2 linked regions of the Canis lupus familiaris genome follow. The main gene of each other region encodes a partner of the protein of the gene in region 2 in a complex. Links are inferred from orthologs where the notes say so. Each region holds a gene or a part of one and is shown on either strand. Other genes may lie near its edges. The genes, in order: NOP10 and NHP2.

What was found.
Region 1: NHP2 (region 2) and NOP10 share a complex: the UniProt entries of both Homo sapiens proteins name them as parts of the H/ACA small nucleolar ribonucleoprotein (H/ACA snoRNP) complex. The link is inferred for Canis lupus familiaris from reciprocal best matches to the Homo sapiens genes NHP2 and NOP10.

What each region holds. Positions count from the first base shown.
Region 1 is NC_049251.1:1,036,441-1,039,331, reverse strand, and holds NOP10 (H/ACA ribonucleoprotein complex subunit 3), read right to left. Parts: upstream 1,521-2,891; 5' UTR 1,419-1,520; coding exon 1,365-1,418; intron 1,088-1,364; coding exon 947-1,087; 3' UTR 712-946; downstream 1-711. Other genes in the region: NUTM1 (NUT family member 1), read left to right, coding at 1,985-2,072. UniProt on the Homo sapiens protein: Required for ribosome biogenesis and telomere maintenance. Part of the H/ACA small nucleolar ribonucleoprotein (H/ACA snoRNP) complex, which catalyzes pseudouridylation of rRNA.
Region 2 is NC_049232.1:3,653,421-3,657,935, forward strand, and holds the start of NHP2 (H/ACA ribonucleoprotein complex subunit 2), read left to right. Parts: upstream 1-1,477; 5' UTR 1,478-1,594; intron 1,595-2,090; exon of another isoform or gene 2,091-2,146; 5' UTR 2,147-2,228; coding exon 2,229-2,388; intron 2,389-2,470; coding exon 2,471-2,540; intron 2,541-4,515. UniProt on the Homo sapiens protein: Required for ribosome biogenesis and telomere maintenance. Part of the H/ACA small nucleolar ribonucleoprotein (H/ACA snoRNP) complex, which catalyzes pseudouridylation of rRNA.

The sequences.
Region 1 (2,891 bases), on a different chromosome or scaffold from region 2:
TTCACAACAGTTCTACTCGTAACTCAGCATACATACACGGATATCCACCACTAATCCCTATCAGATTTCAAGCTGGAAGAGGGCTTAGAAACGAGAAAAATGAGACCAAACTGGGTAAACGGGGATCCCTGGGTGGCGCAGCGGTTTGGCGCCTGCCTTTGGCCCAGGGCGCGATCCTGGAGACCCGGGATCGAATCCCACGTCGGGCTCCCGGTGCATGGAGCCTGCTTCTCCCTCTGCCTGTGTCTCTGCCTCTCTCTCTCTCTATGTGACTATCATAAATAAAAAAAAAAAAAAAAAAAAAAAAAAAAAAAAAAAAAAAAAAACTGGGTAAACGACTTTCTTAAAATTATGCAAAGGGGAAAATGCTGGTCTCCTGACTTCACTGCATTCCCTCTACAGTATAGCTGCTATTATTTTTCAAGCAACTCCTCCAGTTGAGTCAAATGTCATTTCAAGGGGCAAGAAATTACTTAAGTGACACAGGGATATTTTTCAGGGAATGCTTACACTTGCAGGAGTCTCAACCATCCATCCCATTCCCAACACCCTGTTGCACACAGCACTACTGCTACAGCAGCGACTCGAGTTTTTCTCCCAAGTGGTCTTCTTGTACCCCTTGGGTCCTCTTCCCTCTCATCTTCTTTTTTTTGTTTGTTTGTTTTTGTTTTTAAGCCCCTACCTTTCCCCCCACAACATACAAAACAAAAACTCGTTCAAATCATTTTAATAACCTCGATCTGATCCAAGATGTGAAACGATTCTGATTAGTTCCCTTAAGAGGGATGCTACCATGATTGCTTCACAGGAGCGGGCTCGAAGGCAACGAGGACACCGGATTCCCAAGCGCAAGGGTGCCGAGGAGCCTTCACGGCTCACAGTTTGAAGAGGCTGGTTTCGGAAAGTCCCTGAGGAGTAGCAGGAGGGACACGAGAGCTAAGGGGCCTCAGAGCACGGGGCGCGGCTGCTGGGTCATCAGCACCTTGAAGCGTTTCTTGACGGTGATTCGGTGACGGGAGTACTTGTCATCTGGGGAGAAGCGAGCGGGATGCGCTGAACAGGTCTGCTGTCCCATAGGGTCAAGCTTCTGCCCGAAGAAAAAAGAAAATTTCAGTACAGGAATGGCGGGAAAACCCGCCCGAGAGCGTCGACAGGGAGGCGGAGGTAGGGGACGGGAGGAAGCTGCGCAGAGACGGGTGAACCAGAGGCAGGGGCCGGGCGCCCACACCGACAGCCGCACCCTCCTTCCAGCGCTCGAGGTTTCGGGCTTCCCAGGCCCCTCACCCCCGGCAACCGGGGGCGTCTCGCCGCTCCTCCAGCCTGCTGGTCCACAGGACTATTTACCACCTGCTTTCTCGTCTCACCTTAAGCGTATAGACCCGGTCTCCCTGCTCGTTGAGGTAATACTGGAGAAACATGACCACGCGGCACACGCGACTCCCAACGCCGTCCGGCTCCCGCGGAGAGGGTGTCACGTGTTCGTCAAAGTCCTTCCGGTAAGGCCGGTAGTCTCTCTCGAGGCATGCCGGGAAGTGTAGTCCATTCCGGCCTTTCTCCCGCTGACCAGGAGGGGGCGAAGGAGTGCGGGATTTGGCCCAGTTGCAACCCAGTTGCAACCTTGCAGGCGTCGGCTTCCAGTTGCAATTTTGCGGGCGCTCTGAGACACGTGGAGTGTGCCCACTGTGTGCAAGACGCTGCTAGGAGCTAGAGGGGGGTAGGAATGAATATGGCTTGAACATCGATGCACAGAGTCCTGCCTCTACTCGCGATGCGCACCCATTTCACAGGCAGTGGGTTTCTGGGGCCTGTAGAAACAAAGGCTCCGGGATTCCGAGCCCCTTTATCTTAGGGTAGAAAGAAGAAAGTTTTCTTCCCTCCCCTCTTTTCCATCCGGTTCCCCCGTCCTATTTTAAAGTATTGGCGGTAAAGAGTGCATGATGGGTATTCAATATTAGGCACAGCGAAGAGGGCGTGAAGTTATTTTATGAAACTGGTGAAGTATATTTCAGTGGTCGAACCGAGATTTAAACTCAGGTCTCTTTGCCACAAATCCAGCGCTCTTTCTTATAGTGGTGAGTAACAATAATAGCATAATACGATGCACCTCCTAGGGTTATTTCGAATTTTTAAAAGAACGTAGAAATTCTCTTTATAGGACTCTGATTTCTTTAGGACAATGGGAGCCCAGTTATCATTACAAAGATTGTTGTTGCAGTGTTATTTACAATGGTAAAAGCATTGGAACATTTGTTAATTTTAATTTTGTTAATTTTGATTTTCTCGATTAATTTTATAACCGAGAAAAGCCTGAAAGGGTTTTTCTTTTCTTTCTTTCTTCCTTCCTTCCTTCCTTCCTTCTTTTCTTTTCTTTTCTTTTCTTTTTCTTTTTTTAGAATATAGTCTGTATTTATTTGTAGTTGCATAAAATATCTCTGTAAGGATTCACAGGAAACATATTATTGGTTTTCTCTGGAATAAAGAACTTGGTTCCAAAAAGAAAGAGGGAGGGAGAGAGAGAAGGAGAGAGAGAGATAGAGAGAAATCAGTTCCAGAGGAAAGAAGTGGGAAGGACACTTGCTGTATATTCCATTTTGCATAGTTTGACTTTAGAACCATGCTGATTTATTTCCCATTTCAAAAACTAAAATCATTTAACAGAACTTTTAAACAACAAAATAATTTAACAAAAAAAGACTTTTTGGTTTTGGAATTTCAGGCTGAATGGCAGTTTTGGATAGAGTGGTGCTTTTCAGCCAAGGGTAAGCTGAACCTTCTGTGGACTGCAGGGCTGATGGTCGTGGACTGTCAGGGACTGCAGGACAGCTTTGTAAGGACATGTGCCACAGCCAGATGCCCAGGGTTTCTTTTTTTTCTTTTTTTAATTCTTATTT
Region 2 (4,515 bases):
CAGAACTGAGAGGCTTTCAACAACTGAGACTTTGGTCAACACATTTATTGGAATCAGGTTTTTTGAGGATGAAATTCTCCATAAGGACGCAGTCCATCCTGTCCCATGCATACATGTGGCAGTACTTGGCCCCTCTGTGACCTGACACTTTATGGGGGGGGGGGGTCCTACAAGGCTTTAAAAGTTGACAGGAACACCACTCAGAGACAAGACTAGAAGAGCACCTTTCAGGGGCACCTGGGCGGCCTAGTTAAGCATCTGATCTTTCATGATCCCAGAATCCTGGGATGGAGCCCCACTTTAGGCTCTCTGCTCAGTGGGGAACCTGCTTCTCCCTCTTCCTCTCTGCCTGCTTCTGCTCACTCATGCTCTCTCTCTCCGTCAAATAAATTAATCTTAAAAAAAAAAAAAAAAAGGCGGGGGCGGGGGTGGGGGTGGGGAATGCCTGGTGGCTCAGTGGTTGAGCGTCTGCCTCTGGCTCAGTGTGATCTCAGGGTCCTGGGATGAGTCCCGCGTGGGGTTCCCCACAGGGAGCCTGCTTCTCCCTCTGCCTCTCTCTGTCTCTCTCATGAATAAATAAATTCAGCCTTTGAAAAAAGGTTTAAAAAAAAGAAAGGAAAAGCACCCTTCAGAGCCCTGCAGTTCTGTGTTCAGGGAAGCCCACGGAGCAGCTCTCACAGCTTCAGGACGGCTTCCCCAGGAAGGCAAGAATTGCTACTACTGGACCTACAGGGGTACAGCAGAGTCGTAGGCAGGAAAGTACCGGCCGCAAAGCTTCAGGCAGGGGCTATCTTTTCTCAAGAAACTCCAAAGTGAAAACATTTATAAAAGATCATTATCCTGTTATGTTGTGCGTACCATTTTGCTTACTTTCAAACTATTTTTTCATTGTTTATATAACATATTTTCATTGTTCAACTGATTTATGTTTCTATTTATGAAAACTGCTTGGGGTCTAAGGTTAGGATGGCCGGCATCTTGATTTTTGCTATTCTAATGGAAAATACAAAAAACTGACCTTGCCACCTGAGTGGCTCAGTCGGTGAAGTGGCTGCCTTTGGCTCAGGTCATGATCCCGGGGGGGGGGGGGGGGGGGGGGGGTCCTGGGCTCCCTGCTCAATGGAAGCCTGGTTCTCCCTCTCGTGCTATCCCTTCTTGTGCTCTCTCTGTCAAATAAATAAATAAACAAATAATTTTTAAAATTGACTTGATTTTTATTGAATGACTACACTTGGTGACAGAGTGAAAAGTTTAATTTTTTAAGTTGGCTTAACTAACCTGTGCTCCCACGGGTCACCTGACACTTCCAAAGTTCCACTTACCGGCCTATTCTGCTACCTTACCAGTTTCCGGCCTACCGCCTCCTGATCCACGGCAATCAATCTGTAGCAATCGTCGAATTACCATCCAGCCGGCGTTCCAGGAAGCGGGGGAGGTCAGCGGGAAGGCCAGATCACCCCAGGTGGGCCCGCCCCCAGCCCAGCGTCCGCGTCCCCCGACGCCCTGAGGATAGCTGCAGAGCCGCCGCCCACCGCGCCCCAGGTCCCAGCCTCCGGGTCCCCACGCGCCCCGCCGGGGTCACGGCCGGGCAGCGGTAGGAACCGGGAGGAAACAAAGGGGGAGGGGAAGTCCGTGGAGGTCGACGGGGACCGCAGTTTCAGGGAAGGGGGCGGGGGAGTCGGTCCCGGGTGACTTCCGAGCGGGCGGCCGACTGAGCGGAGACACGCCCAGGGAGCGGGGCGACGGGGAGAACGAGCGAGGCATCGTGCTAGCGCGGGGGCCTCTGCAGCGCCCGGCTCTGCCCGGACCGCGGGAGGACCAGACTCCGAGGAGCCCAGGAACCCACTTTCTTCCCTTTCGCAGGCCCCGCCCCTCGCGGGGGTCCGGTCCCCTCGGGCGTGGTTACGCCCCGCAGACCCCGCCCCCTCCACCACCCCCGGAGCCGGCGACGCGGAGCCCTCCCCCGGCCTAAGCCCGCGTCCGCGTCCCTTCCCGCCCGCCCGGGCCCCGCCCCCCAGCCGAGGCCCCCGCCCCCAGCCGAGGCCCCGCCCCTCCGCGGTCCGCGTTTAAAGCGCCGCGGGACGACGATTGGTTGGAGTCGGAGACGTCGTTTCCTCGTTGGCTAAGGTACGGCCGCTTCCCGCAGTACCGGACGACCCGGAAGTGATTCCTGAGGCCCGGGCCACGTGGGTTTGCCGCGCGGGGAGCCGGTTTCCGTGGCCGCCGCGATGACCAAAATAAAGGCGGATCCCGACGCGCCGGAGGCTCAGGCGGAGGCGTGCCTCGGGGAGCGCACTTACCACGAGCTGCTGGTGAACCTGAATCCCATCGCGCAGCCACTGGCCTCTCGCCGTCTCACGCGGAAGCTCTACAAGTGCATCAAGAAAGGTGTGGCCGGCGCGGTGGCCGGTGGTGGCGCGGGGGCGGGCCGAGGCTCCCCGGCCTCCGGCTGACTCTTCTGTCGTTGCAGCCGTGAAGCAGAAACAGATTCGGCGCGGGGTGAAGGAGGTACAGAAGTTTATCAACAAAGGCGAGAAAGGGTAAGGCCCCCCTCCTGCCGGACTTTGCATTTCTGGGTGGTCGCATGGGCATCTCCAATGCTTGGCGGCCCGCCCCCGGGACACGAGGTGATCAGGCAGTCGGTGAGCTCCCTCCGGTACTGCCCGCCGGCAGACAGCATCGCGTCACTTCCAAGAGCTGGGAGGAGCCCCACCGGGACAGTGAGATCCGGGGAAGGGAAGGGAAGGGAAGGGAATCAGCCAGCTCACGTCGGGTAGAGCCCAGCCTCACTCACTCGTAGACTTTTCAGGCACGGTGCTATAGGGAGACAGTGACTTTAACCAAAGACGCACAAAATCAAAGGTCCTGAGACAACTGTGAGGGGATGTGCAGGGTGCGATGAGAATTGACTTCATTACATCTTTCTCCCTCTCAGGCCAGACAGTAAGCGCTTTTCATTTTTATTTATTTTTTAAAAAGATTTTTATTTATTCATTCATGAGAGACACACAGAAAGAGAGAGAGAGAGAAGCAGAGACACAGGCAGAGGGAGAAGCAGGCTCCACGCAGGGAGTCTGATGCGGGACTCGATCCCGGGACTCCAGGATCGTGCCCTGGGCCAAAGGCAGGCGCTAAACCGCTGAGCCACCCAGGGATCCCAGTAAGCGCTTTTTAGAACAAGATAAAGCCTCTCAGTGCTTTTTCTGTTGGGGTGCTTGAGAGAAAAATAGTGCTGGTGCCGGGTATGTGTGTGTTTGTGTGTGCGATGCTCTGCAGTAAATCTGACCTGGGAGAGTGGTGGACAGAAGTATTACCCTCCCGTGGCCTTTGTGAGCCATGGTGAATTTGTTTTTTTTTTTTTTTTTTTTTTTTTTTTATGATACTCACAGAGAGAGAGAGAGAGAGAGGCAGAGACACAGGCAGAGGGAGAAGCAGGCTCCATGCAGGGAGCCTGATGTGGGATTCAATCCCGGGTCTCCAGGATCGCGTCCTGGGCCAAAGGCAGGCGCCAAACCGCTGCACCACCCAGGGATCCCTCTAGACTAGTTCTTAAGGTGCTTTTTTGGCAGGTGACCCCCCTCTGCCCCGCCCCCAGCAGAACTGTCAAATAGGCAGATGGCTGCACAGATTTGGGGCCTGGAAGGGAGAGGCCAGGCAGGAAAGAACAAATTTGGGAGTTATCAGCACACAGATGGCATCTGACGCCGTGGCTGAGGCTCAGGTCGGTCAGGGATCAGCGTGTGAGGACAGCACCAGCACTGAATGGCCCCTCCAAGGAATGGGTGCTGGTGGAGGAGAGCCTGGAAGACCAAAGGAAAACTAGGAGTGTGGGCCGCAGTACTTTGAACTAAGAGCTCTTTACTTGAGTTTGCCGCCCACCTACCCTGAGAGAACGCTTTTCCTTGGTGTCTTCAGGACTCCCAAGGCCCTTGTCCCAGAGCCCTGATACCTTGCCAGCTATGAGTCCTACCTGAGGGTTCTCTGGCAAGCCTTCATTAGTTCCCTGTCCTTCTTGGACCACGCTCATGCTTCCCAGCCTGGCACTTGAGGCCCCTGCCAGGGTCTCTGGCCTCATCCCTATCCAGGATTCCAGAGCCACCCCAGGCCCCCCTCAGCCAGCTCCTGGGTATGTGCTGCCATTCTGATTCTGTCTCAAACGCTTCCCTCCACCTCCAGAGCTCTGCCACAGGCTGCCTGACACCTTCATTCAGCTTTCTGATCTAGTGTCCCCTCCTGGTTCCTTTTTTCATTCTCCTAGGAGAGCTGAGCTCTGAACTCCTTGGTGTCACTCCCGTACCTCACTTGTCCCAGTGGAATCTCACTTGTCACACTGTGTGACATTTACTTATTTGCCAGAAACTAAAGGCATTACCTCCCCAGAGGAAGTGCTCGCCAAACACATTTGCACGCACTCTCGGAAAGCAGGAGATTCACACCTGGAGTCCATGACGGCTGGGGCCATCTTGTCCATCCCTATTTGGAGGCCCAGTCCACAGGTACCACATTGGACTGAAA